5 linked regions of the Ovis aries genome follow. The protein of the gene in region 1 purifies or fractionates together with the protein of each later gene. This does not show direct contact. Links are inferred from orthologs where the notes say so. Each region holds a gene or a part of one and is shown in the gene's direction. Other genes may lie near its edges.

Evidence for each region.
Region 2: the proteins of OGT (region 1) and CXXC1 purify together in Homo sapiens (affinity purification with mass spectrometry; 3 studies listed by BioGRID and IntAct, with this or other methods). This does not show direct contact. The link is inferred for Ovis aries from reciprocal best matches to the Homo sapiens genes OGT and CXXC1.
Region 3: the proteins of OGT (region 1) and DIDO1 purify together in Homo sapiens (affinity purification with mass spectrometry; 3 studies listed by BioGRID and IntAct, with this or other methods). This does not show direct contact. The link is inferred for Ovis aries from reciprocal best matches to the Homo sapiens genes OGT and DIDO1.
Region 4: the proteins of OGT (region 1) and SETD1A purify together in Homo sapiens (affinity purification with mass spectrometry; 4 studies listed by BioGRID and IntAct, with this or other methods). This does not show direct contact. The link is inferred for Ovis aries from reciprocal best matches to the Homo sapiens genes OGT and SETD1A.
Region 5: the proteins of OGT (region 1) and SIN3A purify together in Homo sapiens (affinity purification with western blotting; 4 studies listed by BioGRID, with this or other methods). This does not show direct contact. The link is inferred for Ovis aries from reciprocal best matches to the Homo sapiens genes OGT and SIN3A.

What each region holds. Positions count from the first base shown.
Region 1 is NC_056080.1:64,200,092-64,204,123, forward strand, and holds the start of OGT (UDP-N-acetylglucosamine--peptide N-acetylglucosaminyltransferase 110 kDa subunit), read left to right. Parts: upstream 1-1,230; 5' UTR 1,231-1,426; coding exon 1,427-1,463; intron 1,464-4,032. UniProt on the Homo sapiens protein: Catalyzes the transfer of a single N-acetylglucosamine from UDP-GlcNAc to a serine or threonine residue in cytoplasmic and nuclear proteins resulting in their modification with a beta-linked N-acetylglucosamine (O-GlcNAc).
Region 2 is NC_056076.1:50,259,435-50,262,480, reverse strand, and holds the end of CXXC1 (CXXC-type zinc finger protein 1), read left to right. Parts: intron 1-173; coding exon 174-281; intron 282-404; coding exon 405-589; intron 590-852; coding exon 853-1,060; intron 1,061-1,142; coding exon 1,143-1,253; intron 1,254-1,381; coding exon 1,382-1,431; intron 1,432-1,548; coding exon 1,549-1,993; intron 1,994-2,114; coding exon 2,115-2,261; 3' UTR 2,262-2,536; downstream 2,537-3,046. UniProt on the Homo sapiens protein: Transcriptional activator that exhibits a unique DNA binding specificity for CpG unmethylated motifs with a preference for CpGG.
Region 3 is NC_056066.1:54,193,703-54,197,216, forward strand, and holds part of DIDO1 (death-inducer obliterator 1), read left to right. Parts: intron 1-860; 5' UTR 861-1,015; coding exon 1,016-1,034; intron 1,035-1,760; exon of another isoform or gene 1,761-1,891; intron 1,892-2,368; coding exon 2,369-3,206; intron 3,207-3,514. UniProt on the Homo sapiens protein: Putative transcription factor, weakly pro-apoptotic when overexpressed. Tumor suppressor. Required for early embryonic stem cell development.
Region 4 is NC_056077.1:27,630,515-27,634,028, forward strand, and holds part of SETD1A (histone-lysine N-methyltransferase SETD1A), read left to right. Parts: intron 1-383; coding exon 384-556; intron 557-648; coding exon 649-759; intron 760-939; coding exon 940-1,059; intron 1,060-2,771; coding exon 2,772-2,909; intron 2,910-3,003; coding exon 3,004-3,177; 3' UTR 3,178-3,514. UniProt on the Homo sapiens protein: Histone methyltransferase that catalyzes methyl group transfer from S-adenosyl-L-methionine to the epsilon-amino group of 'Lys-4' of histone H3 (H3K4) via a non-processive mechanism.
Region 5 is NC_056071.1:31,038,042-31,042,067, forward strand, and holds the start of SIN3A (paired amphipathic helix protein Sin3a), read left to right. Parts: upstream 1-1,212; 5' UTR 1,213-1,552; intron 1,553-4,026. UniProt on the Homo sapiens protein: Acts as a transcriptional repressor. Corepressor for REST. Interacts with MXI1 to repress MYC responsive genes and antagonize MYC oncogenic activities. Also interacts with MXD1-MAX heterodimers to repress transcription by tethering SIN3A to DNA.

The sequences.
Region 1 (4,032 bases):
AGGAGGATCATAAAGAACTGATTTGTTCAAGGAAGCGCAGCAGTTTAGTCTCTAGATGTGTGGTTTAGGTAGATGGCAAATGAATCAATTTATCATTGTTGAGCTGCCTTGAGTTAAATGGTATCACTGATTGTAACAATTCACAAAGCAATGTGGTGGAAATGAAGTCAACTCGGAAGGGTCATGGATTTTGAAGAATATGAATCTTTAACAGTTTTATGGCTGCTGCCTTTGCAGTGCAAACTGTCAGCATGTCCCTGAGTTGTGAAGCATTTGCCGTAATACTGTGGGCAAAATTATCGTGAAACCAAGAGGATTTGGAACTTTTGGGCTATATGGCCAAAATCTGAGATGCTTGGGTTCATTTGGCCCTGAGAAACTCAATCCTTTTAATCAAAGTGCTTAAACCAATGGCTGGAATCAGAACTAACACGTGTTCAAATTGGAACTCTCTCTTTTGAATTCTAGACTTTGAAAATATAACCATTTAGATTTACTTGCTCAGAATTGATTCATCATCTTTCAACTATACGAATGAAGTTGATGAAACCTGTATACGCCTTTGGCATTCCTATTAAAATCTATGCTCTTTGCTAAGTAGTAGACTATACCATGGAGAAGGCAATGGCAACCCACTCCAGTACTCTTGCCTGGAAAATCCCATGGACGGAGGAGCCTGGTGGGATGCAGTCCACGGGTTCGCTGGGAGTCGGACACGACTGAGCAACTTCACGTTCACTTTTCATTTTCGTGCATTGGAGAAGGAAATGGCAACCCACTCCAGTGTTCTTGCCTGGAGAATCCCAGGGACGGGGGAGCGTGGTGGGCTGCCGTCTATGGGGTCGCACGGAGTCGGACACGACTGAAGCGACTTAGCAGCAGCAGCAGCAGCAGCAGCAGCAGCAGCAGACTATACCACTGGCAAAAGTGTCATTCAAGTGTATAGTTTCTTTTAAACCATCCGCTTCGCTAGTAAAAAAAACTTGGTGGCTCCTGTCCCAGACAGTGCCCTAACAGCCAGTCGGGCTGACACGGCTGCTCGCATGCGCTCTAGACATAATCGTGTTTGTCGCAATGGGCCCTGCGCGGAAGGTTACATAGGAGCGATTGACTTTGATTATAGTCATTTTGTTGGTAGCACTGGTTACCGCGCTACTTCCGCGCTGGTACTTGATTGTAACAGAAAGTAGTTCCGGTCCGTGTTGTTTCGGCCGAGGAGCCGTCGCCGCCATTTCAAGACCGTGAGAGGTAGATGGCCAACCAGAGTTCTAGGGTTCGAAAGCTGTAACTGTTGCTGCTGCTTAAGCCTGCCAAAGCACTGGTACGGCTGCTGCCCTCGTGCTCCTACCTCTAGAAACATTATTGCCAGTAGTGGCGGCTGCAGGATTCAATCACCCCCTTCTTGCACTCGCTCTAGAAGCTCCAGATGGCGTCTTCCGTGGGCAACGTGGCCGACAGCACAGGTACCGGTGTCTGTTCTACTTTGGCAGACGCCCCCTTGGGGTCTCGCGCCGTCCTCTGCCTCTCATCACTCCCTCCCCTCTGGCCATCCCCATTGCATCAGTGGCATCGCTAAGCTTTTCGGCGTCTAGCGGCATCTGATCTGGGTTTTCTGCTGTCGTCCGTTCCTAAAACATTTTCTCTCGCTTGCTTGCTTTTTGCTTCCTTTCTTGCTTTGTAATCCTATACATTTTCTAGCCTTCTGCTCTCTCGGGACCCTTCTACACCTGCGCGCTTAGACTGTCTCAGAATGGACTGCATTGGAATCCCTGCCCTTCTCGCTGCCTTTCATTCTCCTTCGCAGTCGTTTTCTCCCCAGTTCAGCTCACCGCCCCCTTCTCTTCCCCCTCCACCCCGCTCCCTTTAGCCCGATTTGGTGGTCCTCTGTCAATCTAGGGCGGAGGTGCCGTTCCAATGTAATCGTATCCTCACTTTGCATCACCCCAAGGACGAGCGCAAGCTCCTGGGTGCGCTCCGAGTAACCTCTCCAGCAGGGGATTTTGAGCAGCACCGCGCCTGGCAGCGCCTGTGTGCTGTGCCTTGGGTTGAGCGGCCCCGGTTTCGATTGGAAATTTCCAGGGGTTTCTTTTGCCATCTCCCAATTCCACTCGCTGCCCCCAGCCTGGATTTCCCACCCTGTCCTCCCTCCGCTCCCGCGGGGAGCCACACCCTTTCCTTCGCGTGGTTGCCAGCCCTGCGGTCCGTTTCCTACCCTCGGGGAGAAACCACTCTAGTGCGGGGGCTTCGGCGTTGACCATCCTGCCCGCCCAATTCTCGCTTTGTGTTACTTTGTCCTTGTATTCCTCCGCCGCCGTCTGTCTCTGGGTCTTCCATCCCCATTCTTTAGCCCGGTATTTCTTTATTCATAGGGGGTATATTTTTTTGAGTTTTCATCCCTGCTTGAAGAGTTTGTAAAGCAACTGGAGTGTAGCTGCACAAGTGCAAGGCGGTTGCCCTTTTAGACAATTAGTCTGAGAGCATTTAGTACTAAAAATAAGAAAACTCCAAATTATAGGGGTGTCCTTCAGCTGCCTTTCCGTATTGAGGCTGTTTGGGGCGGGAGGGAGGGGGGATTGGGCTGCGGTTCTAAGGTTTCCCACGAGGTTATTTTTTTGTTGGTTTCTCAGTTGAGATGTCAAGGGTTTTATTGTTCTTGGACATTGTGCACTAAGAGATGAATCTTCAATTGTATCTTATATTTGACTGTAGGTAGTGAGATTGGTAGTGTTCCCCTCTCGCTCAGGGATTTTTTTTTAAAGATTTAAGAGTCTGTCCTAGATTCTCTTGTTCTAGCTTGCCCTTTTCTTTCTTTTTTGGCCGCACCATGCGGCTTGCGGGATCTTAGTTCCCCGGACCAGGCATGGAACCTGTGCCCCCTGCATTGGGAGCGCATAGTCTTAACCGCTAGACTACCAATGAAGCCCCTGCTTGCCCTTTTCTGCCTGTTATTTTATTTGAGAAAGTTGTCATTTCTAGTGTTAAAATAGCAGATAGGCGGCTTTTGAAAAGTTGATAAAGTATGGGTTAAAAATAAGGAGCAAGGAAGGGAGTTCTAGAGACTTGTTTAAAATAGATAGAGTGAATAGTGAAGTCGCTCAGTCGTGTCCGACTCTTTGCGACCCCATGGACTGTAGCCTATCAGGCTCCTCCGTCCATGGGATTTTCCAGGCAAGAGTGCTGGAGTGGATTGCCATTTCCTTCTCCAGGGGATCTTCCCGACCCGGGAATCGAACCCGGGTCTCCCTCATTGCAGGCAGACGCTTTACCATCTGAGCCATCAGGGAAGCCCCAAAATAAATGGGACCGAATTGAACAGAAGCAGAGTGAGCTGGGAAACAATAGCAGTCTGGAATTCTCCAGGCCGGAATACTGGAGTGGGTAGCCTTTCCCTTCTCCAGGGGATCTTCTCAACCCAGGGATCGAACCCAGGTTCCCCACATTGCAGGCAGATTCTTTACCAGCTGAGCCACAAGGGAAGCCCATAAGAGGTATAACCGTCCACAAATGTGGATGCAGGTCTCTCTGCTCTTAACGTTAGTGGTCAGCTAGCTGTGCCTTGTTAGGAAATTTACTTTACTTTCCTGAGTATACAGTTCATTTGCCAGGTCTAATGATTGAGGGTCTAGGCTCAATATTAGCTTCTCACTTGGAGCTTGGTAGAATTTAAGTATTTAATTTGTAGAAAGTTTCTTACTCTGTCTCCTGGAAGTACTGTGGTCAAATTCCCAAGTAATGTATCATTGTTAAAGTATTTACACTTGAGACTTAGGCAGCTTGTTGTTGTTTTCCATCTCTGGGCTTTAGCTGTATATTCTTTATCTTTTTGTATCTGAACAAAGTTACACACAGCAAAGTACATTCATTTATTATTAATTTAGTTGCACTTTATTGAATGGTTTTATATTTTAGCATTTCTCCATTCTTTAAAAAATTCATTGCAGTTGTAGGTTTATACAGGGTTGTTTGCAGTGTTTTAGTCCTTTTAGTCAGTATCAGAGCTCTTTAGAAAATGCTAGTGTTAAACCATCGTGG
Region 2 (3,046 bases), on another chromosome or scaffold:
TAGGGTCTTTTCAAACGAGTCAGTTCTTCGCATCAAGTAGAGGTTACAGAAGCAGAGAGTATCCGTAATGAGGAGAGAGGAGGCAGAGGGTATGGAAGGTTGATGTGGGGACTGAGTAGGTCGTGGGGAGGTCACCAGGAGCGCAGGACAATCAGCGTTTGCCTCACTGGCAGCCCTGGATGAGCGACACGGAGGAGTCCCAGTACCTGGACCCAGCGCTGCGGAAGAGGGCGGTGAAAGTGAAGCACGTGAAGCGGCGGGAGAAGAAGTCTGAGAAGAAGGTGACAGGGCGCAGTGGGTGTGAGGAGGGAAAGGTCAGGGCCTGACGGGCTGGGGCACCGGGGGTGTCAGGGGTCCAGAGATGCCTTCAGCCCTGCCCTGACCCCACGCGTGTCGTCCCACAGAAGGACGAAAGATACAAGCGCCATCGACAGAAGCAGAAGCACAAGGACAAATGGAAACACCCAGAGCGGGCTGACGCCAAGGACCCCGCGTCGCTGCCGCAGTGCCTGGGGCCTGGTTGCGTGCGCGCCGCCCAGCCCGGCTCCAAGTATTGCTCCGACGACTGCGGCATGAAGCTGGCGGCCAAGTGAGTCATTTTGGGGGTGTCGGGGAGGACACGGTAGGGCATGACCGGAGCCCCCAGTCGGTCACGTGGCCACCGTTCAGTCAACCAAGCACCCACCTGTCCGTCCACCTGCTCACGCACCCATCCTCTGTCTGCCCGTTCATTCCCCTGGTTACGCACCCTTTCACCCTTGAGTCCCCTTCCATCCTGCATCGGAGGACCCCACTTACCCGCCTCCTTGCTGGCTTCCTCCCCTGCGCACCGAATTCCCCACGTCCCTGTAGCCGCATCTACGAGATCCTCCCGCAGCGCATCCAGCAGTGGCAGCAGAGCCCGTGCATCGCCGAGGAGCACGGCAAGAAGCTGCTCGAGCGCATCCGCCGGGAGCAGCAGAGCGCGCGCACCCGCCTCCAGGAGATGGAGCGCCGCTTCCACGAGCTCGAGGCCATCATCCTGCGCGCCAAGCAGCAGGCGGTGCGCGAGGACGAGGAGGTGAGGGCCGCGGCCGCGGCAGCCCGGCGCGGGGCCGCGTGCCTGGCCCTGTCTGGCCTCATGGTCCCCTCCGCCCGCGCAGAGCAATGAGGGCGACAGTGACGACACGGACCTGCAGATCTTCTGCGTCTCCTGCGGGCACCCCATCAACCCACGCGTTGCCTTGCGCCACATGGAGCGCTGCTACGCCAAGGTCAGGGTGTCGGCCCAAGGGGGTGGACAGTGTGGGGACATCGTGGGGTCCGTGGGGAGCAGGTGGGCCGTCTGGCGAGGGCCCGCAGCGCACACCCACAGTTCCCTCGTTTGTGCTCGCCCCTCCAGTACGAGAGCCAGACGTCCTTTGGGTCCATGTACCCCACCCGCATCGAGGGGTGAGTGTGGGCGCGTGCGGGGTGAGCGCGGGGTTACGGCGGGGTCGGTGGCCGCCGCCGGTGCAGGCGGGGGCGCTGCTGTCCTCCTCTTCCACGCCCTCCGCTCCACACCCCCAGGGCCACACGGCTCTTCTGTGATGTCTACAACCCTCAGAGCAAGACGTACTGTAAGCGGCTCCAGGTGCTATGCCCCGAGCACTCACGGGACCCCAAAGTAAGGCTTTCCCATCCCCGCTCCCTTCCTCTGCCCATGTTTGCCCCTTCCACTGCCCGGCCTCCTCACCGTCATCCCTCTCTTTTCTGGGGCACCCCTTCCTTGCATTCCTCTCTTCCCTCTGCCCGCCTCTTGGTTCCTTCCCACTCTCCTCCGAACTTGCAACTTCCCCCACCCACCCCGGCCTCCCTGCAGGTGCCAGCTGACGAGGTATGCGGGTGCCCCCTCGTAAGGGATGTTTTTGAGCTCACGGGTGACTTCTGCCGCCTGCCCAAGCGCCAGTGCAACCGGCACTACTGCTGGGAGAAGCTGCGGCGCGCCGAGGTGGACCTGGAGCGTGTGCGCGTGGTAGGTCTTGACTGCGTGCTAGGCCCTGACCGTGGATGTGCGGCTGCCAATGTGGATGCGGCCGCGGTTGGGTGGAGCGGGGCTCCAGAGCTGCTTCTTAAGGCTTCTGCTCCCCACGCAGTGGTACAAGCTGGACGAGCTGTTTGAACAGGAGCGCAACGTTCGCACAGCCATGACCAACCGGGCGGGCTTACTGGCCCTGATGCTGCACCAAACCATCCAGCACGACCCACTCACCACCGACCTGCGGTCAAACGCCGAGCGCTGAGCCTCGGCGGCCCACACGTCCTCTCTACCTGCACTGTGGGTGGGCCCGGCCCTGGACCCCCGTTTGTCTGGTCTGCGGTTCATGTTTCTCCGACGGTCCCCGAGTCCCTGTGCCCATCCGTCCACCATCTGACTGCCTGTCTGCCCTTACCAGAGGGCCTTGGAATTTCACATCTCTCCGTTCTCTGTGCCTGGGTGGGACTGTGGAGTCTGCTCACCCGTGCCTCCCCGAACTCTGGTTTTGTTAATAAAATTTTGATGAAACAAAAAAGATAACTGTTGGTGGTCTCCAAACTTTTCAGTTGCAAATACGTTCCCATGGTCCTAGAGTAGAGGGGCGCACCTGTGTTTCAGAGTGGCTGTGTACAGGTGTAGACTGCACGAGGCTGCACATATTCAGCTGGCGCCCATTTGGTGCTCTGCAGGCCCCACCTTGGGCGTGGGGATCTGGCTTGCTGAATGAGAGTCCAGTGACCTCCACTGCCATCTTGTTATTGTGAGACTAGGTGTTTGATCAGCATTCCTTCCATGAATGGCTGATTTATCATTCCTATGTGAACAGGAATCTTCTTACTCTTACGCATATTCTCCAGACCAGAGTTGTATTAAATGATGGACACAAGGCCTTCCTCTTCCCTGCAAAGCCCTCTCTTGGGGTGCACATACACCAGGAGCGCCCCCCACACCACCCCCAATGTCAGGGCCAGTCAGCGCCAGGCACTGCCTTTCCAGGATGGATGCACCCTGGTGGGTTCCACGGACCTGGCCTTTTATCTGCAGAGCAGT
Region 3 (3,514 bases), on another chromosome or scaffold:
GGTTTCCCACTTGAAAGAGTTGCAGTGCGATGGACTCTGTCCCTTTAAGAGGAGGCGGGATGGAATGTTTGTCCTGAGGTCACTAAGGAGACCACAGTTAACAGGGGAGGCAGTTGGAGTGAGGCGAGGAAGAGGTGAGGCGAGGCGCAGGCAGGGGTCTTGGGTATAGAATGTGAAATGTGTTAAAATGTTAATACTGAGAATTTACCTAGAATCAGAAACGTGTTTGTGGACCATTTAGGTATGATGATTGAATGAGGAGACAGGAGGAGAAATGTTCTTTAAATGCATAAATACACAAGGATAAGCTGTACCACAGGGATGTCCAGTAATTATTAATCTTCTGAAATCTTTATTAGGTTTTTTAACTAAAATGACGACATAGCTACAGTGTTAAGAATTTCTAAATAATTGCTTTCATGTATAATTTTCTTGTTCATCTTTTCATGTTTTGTTCCTGATTCTCCCTCTGGTTTTTATTGGCCTGGGTCCATCAGAAGTAGGGTTGTAATTAGGAAGCAGCTGATGCCAGTGACTGATTTTGGAATCCTCCCTCCCACCCACTGAGCCCTCTGCACTCGACCACCAGCTCCCTCTACCAGGGTGCCAGCCATGGCCTGTCCCAGCCCCTGCTTTCATCGTGTAGTCAAAAGTATACATCTTCCCTTTTTAAAAAAAAGTCCTTGTTGGGGGGCCGTATTTGTGGACTGGGCGAATGTTTCTGTAGGTCGCATAATGTAGACTTAAGAGATTGCTTGGAAAGTTTTGTGCCTTTTTTTCCCTTAAATGTGATTTTAGTTCTGGTTGCTTTAGATCTTTAAACTGTTTTTTTTGTTTGTTTGTTTGTTTGTTTGTTTTAGGAGTTTACTCCGTGGACACAGTCTCAAGATAATTTACCTTGTGATCTGTGAACAGTGGCTGACGACAGCAGCACTGGGGGCCTGGCGCTTTCCTTGTGCCTCGAGGTTGTAACGGCCCTGTTTGTGCTGGGTTTAGGAAGTCGGAAGAAGTGCCCATGCTTCTGTGTGGGGCAGGTAACAATGGCAGTAGTGTTGACATCTTACTGACCAGAGATGTACTGATGCATCTTTTGTTATCCAAATGTTATTTACCAGAGACATTTCAGTATTCACTTACATAACAAATTATTAGCCACAGTTTTGTTTTTGCAAAACTCCCACAGTTGATAATATGTTAAATGCCAACAACACAATTTTAAGTTCTGATGTCATGTTTTTATTTCAAAAGTGGCATAATATATGTATAAAAACTGGTGTACCATTAATATTTGTTTGAGATATTCTAAACTTTAGCTCAAGAGTGTCTAATCAATCATTAAATTGAGTGTTCCTTTAGCTTACAATGACGTGCATTCTTGCTGGTGAAGGCTGTATCTTGTGGAGGAGAGTCCTTCCTGCAGAAAGCCTTGGGTGACCAGGACAGTGATGTGGCCCTCGAGGGCACGATGTCACAGAGTGGGTGCTGATGTCACAGAGCGTGGGCCAAGGCCCGGAGTGGGGAGCTGCTGGTCCGGATGGTGGTTGGGAGGTGACACCACTTGGTGGGAACCTAACAGAGAGTTCCGTGGTGTGTGACTTTGAATTTTGTGTATTTTCTGTTTGAAGGTTTTCATTTTGTACGAGTCCTTCCCCTGGGATGGAACGTGGCATAAAATCTGAGTTATCATTAGCATTTAAATGTAATTGAAGCCTGTACAGCTTGGGGAAAAAATTCTTAAGGTATATACTGTATTTTTTCAGGCTTTTTTCATTTGAAATAAGGACAAAGTTTTCACAAACCGGAGCCTTTAATAATCTCTTAGGAGAGAGAAGAAATAGACACACGAGGTGCCATCTGGCTCAGTTGACACAGTCTCGGCTCTAGGATCTGGGTGGGTTCAGTGGGGCTGGGTGTTCAGGGTGCAAACGAGCCCGTCTCCACCCTTCCCCTGCTGGGTGGTGGACATCTCACACTGCCTGGGGCTCCAGAGTTCTGGGCCTAGAGCAAGCCAGGTGGGAGGTGGGCCCATGTCTCCCTGTGGGGAGCCAGAAAGCCCCTGCTGCCCTATCCTGCCCTGTCCTGGCAGCACCACTGCCCAATTCCTCATTCTTGACTTCCGGTATACATGCTTGTCCTCAGAAGTCAGGGGACATGTTCATAGAGGTAGTTTGCTTGCTGGGTTTTCCTCCTGAGCATGGGGTTCGTAACTGAATCCTCCCACACTGTAGAAGCATTTTTGCTTTCTGTAGGTCGGGTTCTCCCGTGTGTGAGGGAGTGCCCCCTTTGCTTGCTTGTAGCTGATGAGTGTCAGGCCCGGACCATAGCCCTGGCTGATGCCTGACATGGCCTGCTTGTGTTTCCTTGTCAGGTATGGACGACAAGGGTGACCCGAGCAGTGAGGAGGCGCCCAAAGCCATCAAGCCCACCAGCAAGGAGTTCCGGAAGACATGGGGCTTCCGGAGGACCACCATTGCTAAGCGTGAGGGTGCCGGGGATGCGGAGGCGGACACCTTGGAGCCGTCGCCCCGGCAGCAGCAAAGTCCATCTCTGCGGCGCAGTGGGCGGCAGCCGAAGCGCACTGAGCGGGTGGAGGAGTTTCTGACCACTGTGCGGCGCCGTGGCCGTCGGAGTGCCCCCGTGTCCCTGGAGGACTCTGGGGAGCCAGCATCCTGTCCAGCGACAGACGCGGAGACCGCCTCTGAAGGCAGTGTGGAGAGCGCCTCGGACGGAAAGAGTGGGCCCAGGTCCAGCTCCACGGGTGCTAAGCAGCGGCCGGCCTCCTCGGCAAAGGCTAGAGAGGGCGAAGACGAGGACGACACGTCCGACAGCGATAGCGACGGACTGACCTTGAAGGAACTCCAGAACCGCCTGCGGAAGAAGCGTGAGCAGGAGCCCGCGGACCGGCCCGCAAGGGGCATCCAGAACCGCCTGCGGAGGAAACGGCGGGAGGAGGACCCGGCTGAGACCGTGGACGTCCAGGCGGGTGATGCGATGGAGGGCTCGCTGCCCACCTCACGGGAGCCTGAGGGCGACCTGGGGGCTGCTGCCCAGGCAGTGAAAGAGGACAGAGAGGGCCGGCCGGATGGGAGAGTGGCCCCGGGAGGGAGAGCCGAGGAAGCCGCAGACTTGGTCCGGCACAAGCCGGAGTGTGAGGTGTACGACCCCAGCGCCCTGTACTGCCTGTGCCGCCAGCCTCACAACAACAGGTGGGTCATGGGGGAGGGGTGGGGGCAGAGCCAGGGAAACTGCCAGAGACTTCACTGTTCTCTTAAGAGAGTTTTAAGCTGGCCTGAATGAGTGACTTGTTCATTGGGAAAGACGAGCAAGTCATTGTCAGAAAGAAACCAGTGGAGTGGGCGGGCACTACCCAGAACCATGCCCTTGCCAGGTGGTGGCTGGTGTGGAATGTTGGCTGCCTGGTCACACCAGCCATGGCAGTGAATGGGTGCGATGGCTTGCACCAGAGTGGGTCTGCTGCCCAAGAGAGCCCTCGGGACGCTGCTTGGACTGGCTG
Region 4 (3,514 bases), on another chromosome or scaffold:
TCCTGCGATCATTCCTGGGTCTGTGTTTACCTCAGTCCCTGTCCTGTTCTCTGCCACGTTCAGCTTGGGTATTTCTTCTCTGGCTGCCAAGTCACCATTTCTCTCTGCTTCATGCCTGTTTTCTGCCTTTTGATGTTTTGGTGGCAGAAAAGGTGGAGTCTAAGACATTTCTGTCTGTCCTTCTGTCTTAACAGTGAGTAAGCTCAGGACCTCCAGCTAAGGCCAGTCAGTCACCCTTTCCATGGGCTGGGGCTGGGGCTGGGGCTGGGGCTGGGACTGGGACTGGGCTGGGGGTGTGGTGGTGGGGGGCAGGGACAGAGGGGAGCAGAGCCCCAGGGATCTGACTGGGGAGCACCCCCGTTCTCTTCCTTGACACCCTGCACTCACCAACCTGAGCACTCCGAAACGCAAGCGGCGGCCCCAAGATGGGCCCCGGGAACACCAGACAGGCTCAGCCCGCAGCGAAGGCTACTACCCCATCAGCAAGAAGGAGAAGGACCGGTACCTGGATGTGTGCCCTGTCTCAGCCCGGCAGCTGGAAGGAGTGGATACTCAGGTGAGTCTCTGCCTGGGTACCTGCCCAGTGGCAGCATTTTCTTTCCATGAGTTTTCATGTCACTTACCTCCTCCCTGGCCTGCTCCTTGCAGGGGACTAACCGTGTGCTTTCGGAGCGCCGGTCGGAGCAGCGGCGGCTGCTGAGCGCCATCGGCACTTCTGCCATCATGGACAGCGATCTGCTGAAGTTAAACCAGCTCAAGGTGAGGGAGGAGTGGGAGTTGAGGAGGGCAGGGGCACTGTGGGAAGGTGGCATCACGGAGACTCCTAGGGGTGGTCTGGGCACAAGTGGCCAGAACACTTCTGCCCCAGAGGTCTGAGGAGTGGCCAGCGGCTGGGTTGAAGGGGATTCCCAGTGGCACAATCTGCCTTCTGCCCTCTAGTTCCGGAAGAAGAAGCTCCGATTCGGCCGGAGCCGGATCCACGAGTGGGGACTGTTTGCCATGGAACCCATCGCCGCTGATGAGATGGTCATCGAATACGTGGGTCAGAACATTCGCCAGGTGAGGCTTCAGCCCCTGACCTAACACGAGAACCACCCAGCCTTTGGGTGAAAGCCCATGCTCTCACCTGGCTCCCAGACTTAGCCAGTGACACCTGCCTGTTTTGTTCCCCTTCCTTCCTTCAACAGCTATTCACGGGTACTAGTAAACTAGCTTCCCTGGTGGCTCAGCAGTAAAGAATCCGCCTGCAGTGCAGGAGACGTAGGTTCCATCCCTGAATTGGGAAGATCCCCTGGAGAAGGAAATGGCAACCCACTACAGTATTCTTGCCTGGGAAATCTCATGGACAGAGGAGCCTGGCAGGCTGGGGTCACAAGAGTCAGACATGACTGAGCAATTAAACAACAGCAGCTAGTAAACTAGATGTTAGTGATCCAGTAACAAATAAGATGAATATTATGTCTCCCTTAAAGACCTCACAGTTTAGTGAGCAAGACAGGTACTGAACAGGTACTCCAGTGAAGAATGATGTTCAGTTGGTATGAAAGGAGGTGTTCAGGGGGGCAAGGGCAGCAGGAATGACGTTTACACCAGAAGCTGAATGATGCTGAGGCATTCCAGGCCCCAGTTAGAGGGCAGGACGCTCCCCCATGTAGGAGGCATAGGCAAAGGCCTGGAGGCAGGATGGTCCTAGGAGCACAAGCAGGTCACTGGGAAAACTCGGGCCAGTGGAGGCCAGACGCCACAGAGCTTGGGAGCCATGTTAATGAGATTGGACCGATGGTGAGAAAAGTTGCCGTGAAGCAGTAAGCAGGAGAGGATTTGGAGGTTAATAACCTCCATCTGACTGCCATGTGGAGAACAGGGTGGGGCTGTTGCAGAGATCCAGGCTGAAGGTAGGGGTGGCCTGAACGGGCAGTGGGTTTCAAGTAGCTGGCGGAACCAGTCAACCAGTTGATTCTGAAGATGGAAGGCAAGGGCTGAGGCAAGACGGTTTCTCCGGGCACTGCCTTTAGCAGCTGGGAGTAGGAAAGGCTGCCAGCAAAGAGGCGGAGCGGGTGTGTGGTCAGAGGCCTCTGGTCAGGACAGTGCCCGGGGGATGTCTCATGGGTGACGCCCAGCAGTTCCACTGAGGTGGATTTTGGCTGGAGAGAGGAGTTTGGGAGGAGTCCCCCCACTTAACTGGCTCTCGAAGGCCTGGAAGAGAGTGAGTTTGCCCAAGGGGAGAGTGCAGAGGGTTTATCCGGCTGTTTACTGGGAAACGAGTTACTCCTCACATGAAAATGTGGGCCCTGATGGCAGACAGCGGGAGCCGTAGGTCCCGATGTGGAAAGAGGGTCCTGGGAGAAGAGTAGGGTTCAGTCCGTGAAATAACCACTGACATCTCAGGAACCGTCCCAGCCTCTGAGAGTCTGGGGACTCCCCCATGGGTCAGGCAGACTCCCCTGGGAGGAGCCAGTGGCTGCTTCTCCTGCCCTGTGGTCAGTGCAGACTTCCTTGGGTTCCTTCCTCTGGGTGCCTCTGTCATAACAGCAGCCAAGGGTATTGGGAGGTGTTCATCAGAGGAAGTCCTGGAAGCAAAGTCAGAAGTCAGCGCTTTGAGGTAGCGGGTGCTAGAGGGAGATCTGTGGATTCAGGACAGGCTGGCGTGGCTCCCAGGCTGGCAGCTGGGGGAGTGTCCAGACCCCTGATCGCAGGGGCCAGTGGAGTCCAGCCTGGCCTGGCAGGAAGCTGAGGGGCAGCCCCCTGACCATCACCCTCTGTCTCGTTAGATGGTGGCTGACATGCGGGAGAAGCGCTATGTGCAAGAGGGCATTGGCAGCAGCTACCTGTTCCGGGTAGACCATGACACCATCATCGACGCCACCAAGTGCGGCAACCTGGCGAGGTTCATCAACCACTGCTGCACGGTGCGAGGACGGGGCCGGGCAGGGGCGGCGGGAGGGGGTGGGGCGGGAGCTGGGGCGGGGGGCAGCTGCCACTGATGCGCCCCTCGGCCTGCAGCCCAACTGCTATGCCAAGGTGATCACCATCGAGTCCCAGAAGAAGATCGTAATCTACTCGAAGCAGCCGATTGGTGTGGATGAGGAGATCACCTACGACTACAAGTTCCCCCTGGAGGACAACAAGATCCCGTGTCTGTGCGGCACGGAGAGCTGCCGCGGCTCCCTCAACTGAGGTGGGGCAGGACTGGTGCCCTCACCCCTATTTATTCCCCCTCGCCGCCCTGAGCTCCCAGCGCTCCCAGCCTTAGTGGGCTCAGTGGGGCCCACCTGCCCCCTCTTGGAATGTGGGCTTGGGGGCCCTGAGCCCAGCGAGGGGGCCTGAGTCCCGTGAGGCACCTTCTGCGGGCCCTCTCTTGCCCCTGCCCCCCCCCCCCCCCCCCCAATTTTTTTTCTTTGCGGAGAAGAAGCTGTAAATGTTTTGTAGCTGCCAGCAGCTGTTTCCTGTGGAAACCTGGGGTGCCGGCCTGTACAGATCCTGTTCTTGGGGGGCCTCCCAGCCCCCATGCTTT
Region 5 (4,026 bases), on another chromosome or scaffold:
TTACAAATGATCCAGGGAAGCATCTGAGTCCGAATTTTGACTTTAGGGCTGCTGAAAGTAGGAAGGGTTTCTGGATTGGGGGACCAGGAGAGACAAGAAACATCTTGGCTCCCTCCACCTACCCCTCCCACCAGAAGATGTACCTCTGTAGTCTTCAAACCAGTCATTACAAGCCTTTCTGCCTCCCCTTGCCACTTGCAGTCACCCTTCTTTCAGCCCACCCTCAGAATTCATCCAGCTGCTGGGATGTTGAGCATCTTAAATGGTAGTTCTGGGCCTGTGGTCCTGTGACCCAGCATGCTGCTTGTACATTCTGCTATACAAGTCTAAGTATTTTAACAAGGTAGAAAAGTCTTTGCTCTCTGACTCCATCTTTCCAACTCTGGTTTTCGTTACTATAGCCACACTTGAAGAAGCTTTTAATACTGCTTTGCATTTATCATTTTGTGTGCTTTGCTGAAAATGAGTTAATTGCCCCTCCGTTTCTGCGTGAGTGCCACCTCCTCCATGAAGTCTTCACCCAGTTTTCCTCAGCTAGAAGACTCTCCCTGCTCTGAGCCTCTGGAGGTGTCTCTATATACATTTCCAAATTGCCTTAGCTCTTTCTGTATCCTCTCTTCAGCTAGGTCTGAAGCCCTAAGAGGACACAGAGTGAGCATCTCATTCAGTTTCTGTAATGGCAAAAAGCAGCAGGTGCGGTGTGAATGTGTCTGCCTCACCCCTGTAGGTGCTCAGGCAAGTGCCTGTTACCCCGAAGGCAGGACTTCCCGCTTACACCGCTCAGTTTTTAGGCAGGCGCCGGACACGGTTAGGTTACACAGCCAGGGGAGTCGGGACATTCCAGTCAGTCGCTAGGGTATCCTCACCCGCTCTCTCTGCCCAGTTCCAAATGGGGTGTGTGTAAGAAGGATATGGGGGCCGGGTAGCCTCAATAGCTCCTCCTCCAGGTTCACCCAGCGAATCTCCGAGTCCCAGGAGGTCTCCTTCCAGTCCAAGGGCCTCAAGTAACTCCAAGCGGCGGTGCGGTAGAGATGGGGCCCTCTGCCATGGTTGCACCTCCCACTCACAGCTAGTTTAATTAATTTATTTCTATTTTTTGGAGGGAGGGGGCGTTCAATGAAGGGGAAGAGGTGGAGCAAGGGGAGGAGGCGGGCCCAGGATGACTGACGCGAGCACCAGGGAGCCAATGGCCCGTGGGGGGCGTTCCCCCCCATTCAGGACTCCTCGCCTGGCTCGGAAGGTATGTTAAACAGCTGCTTTTAATTTGGTCTCCCCAATCTCGGGCGTTTGGGGGGCTTGTTTGCCGGCCGGTCCCTTTGACCAGTCAGCCATGGTGCAGGCGCCGCGGGCCCTGGGACGGAGCTAGGGGAGGCTTGGAGTCCGGCGGCCGAGGGAGGCGAGGGGCAGGCCAGGAAGGAGAGCTCTTGGCGCCGCCCGCTCGCCAGTGTGTTTCCAAGCCGGGCCAGATCCGCGGGGAGGGGGTCGGCCCGACCCGGGGTCTCCAGTGTGCCGGCCGTGCTGCCTAGTTTATTTCACCGAGCGGTCGGTTTCGGTAGGTTTCGGCGGCGGGCTGGGTAAGGGGCCGGCAGGAGGAGATCCCTCGCCCTGCTGGAATGCCTTTAAAAATTATTGTAAAGAAGAAAAAAGGGGAGATTCCGTACACCGACTGGAACCGGGCCCGAGATGCGGCGCGCGGGCTCGGCAGGGGGCGGCGGCCTGAGCTCAGCCGGCCGGGCCCACCAAACCGCCCGGAGTTGGTCGAGAGCTGGAGTTAGCGAGCGAGCCCAGGCCCGCAGCTTTCCCCGCTAACCACGCTGGGCGAGGGCGGCAGCCGCCCAAGGGTTTTGTTTCTGTCCGCAAACTTGTCGGAGGGGGCGGTGGGCGCGCTCAGAAGAGGCGCGGGCTCCTTGGGCCCGCGGTTGTTATGGACTCTGGGGGCGGGGGCAACGCCGGACTTGCGGGAGGGGCGGTCGGGGGCGGGGGAGGCCACCGGAAAGAGCCCCAGCGCCTCGGCAGTAGACCCATGCGCCGGTCTGAGCTCTCCGAACTCCCGGGCCGTGGCAGGAGAGCTAGCGTTCGGCGCCGGAACCCGGCCCGGGGGTGTGGAAAACCTCCAGGAACTCGGCGGCTTCGACCCGCAGCCCCAGCTGATCCCTTTGCAAACATGGAGCTGCCTCCTTCCCCGCCCACCCCAAGGCGGCGACGGCGGCTCCTTTCCCCTCCCCCTGCCGTGCTGCTCGCCCGCGGAAGGGGCGGGGGCGGGGGCACCGGCGAGTGAGCGCGCCCACGAGGGGGTAGCCTGAAAGGGGCAGTGAAGGTCGGAAACTGGGCAAACAGTCTCCACGCTCGAAATCGGGAAAAGGAAATGCATCAGCGGGCGGGAGGGGCGCGGGAGGCGCGCCTGTCAGTCGGGATGGCGGCCGCGGGCTGGGGGGCGGGGCGCCGGCGCGAACCGCGGAGGTCGGGCGGGGCGACGCCAGGAGAGGAGGCGCAGGGGCCCGGCCCTTGGAGCGCCAGACTACCCCAGCTTCCACTCCTTGGCCTAGCCTGTTTACTATACTCCGGCGACGGCTTGTGCAACCGGCCTGGAGGCGAGCTGAGGGGCGGGGCCTTCCCTCCTCTCTTCCACCCGTCTCGGGCTTCTTCAGAGTGCCCGCCTTCTCTTGTTTTCCACTGGCTGGGCGAGGCTCCCTTTTTTCCTGCTCGGTTGTTGATTGGATGACATTCTTCCCAGCTCCGCCTATCGGAGGCCGGGCTGGAGTTTAAGTTGCTAGGATTTTTTTCCGTGAAGGGCGGAGGGAGGATTCCTGCGGCTTACGTGAGGCGCAAGGGTCCGCCCCTACTTCTGATTGGTGAGGTGGATAGTCCCGCCCCCTACGGGGGAGCGAGCTTGGAGAGGGAAGTCCACCCCTGTTCCCCGCCCCCTACCCTAGCGTGTGTGCGCGCTCAGCACATGTGTAAGGCGCGCCTTGCTCCTTCGAACAGTCCTCCCGCCCGGAAGTCCCGGGCTTGGAGCTCTTGGCAAGGGGGGCAGGGAGAGCCGAGAAAGGCACACGATGTTTCCTCCAAGGCTCGAGATCTGGTAGCCTTCGCTTTGAAGTTAGGGGTTGACGGTGTAGGGTGGCTTTGGGGGGCTTTGCTCCTGTGGTTCTGCAAGGGTTGGGAGGAGGGGGTGTGGTCTGTCCTTCCTCGCCAAGTACTAAAGTTCTGACCCTGCATCCTGGCTTTTCTTGCGACTCAACTTCCCGGAGACCGCCCTAAGCCTAGCTTCAGAACGCTGCGGACGCTGCCAGTGTGTTTTCTTTCCAGCATAAGGCAGCCGCTGTCCTTACTAAGCTTTATCAAAACCTCTGAGCAACCTAGGGTTGCCGTGGATGCTTTAGGCAATATCCAGGGCAGCTCATCCCCTGCTGACAGAGAAGTCGAGAGTGGCCCAATTCTGCTAGAGTTCCAAATGGTTCTTGATGTCCAGGTGGGAATGCCGTGTGGCACCCAGTGCAAGGAGAGGAGGAAGACCCAGTTCTGCATATTTGCCGCTTCTTCGTAACCTCCTAGAGGTTTGGGCTGGGGGTCTCGTTTGTTTCGTCCGTGTTACTTATTTTTTGAGCTCCGTCCTGGGGCAGGGTTTGGCTCCCAGGGAGATTGTTCCCATCTGTCGGCTATTGATGAAGTTCAGTTCGCTGCCTTCCGGTTTGGAGTCCGGCCCACCTGTTGCCAGCGCTCATTTCTTGGGGTCTCCGGCGGATTACGGAGGAAGGACAAGAAAGGACCTGGGAGTGAGCTACCTGGGGCCTGCCTCTCGGATACGGACTCGGCTCTCTTAGGGGAGTAGCTTTTTTGCGGAAGAGAGCGGGAAAACTCTAGTCCCGCCCCCTCCTCTCCTGGCGCTCCGTGAGCGCCCCCCAAAGCAAGGCCAGCGTCAGTTCGCCCTATTTAGTGAATAAATAAAAGCCACCTAGATATCGCTAGCATCTCGTCTGTGTTCAAGGCCATATTACCTAAACAGAGAGGGCCTAGGAACTGTCA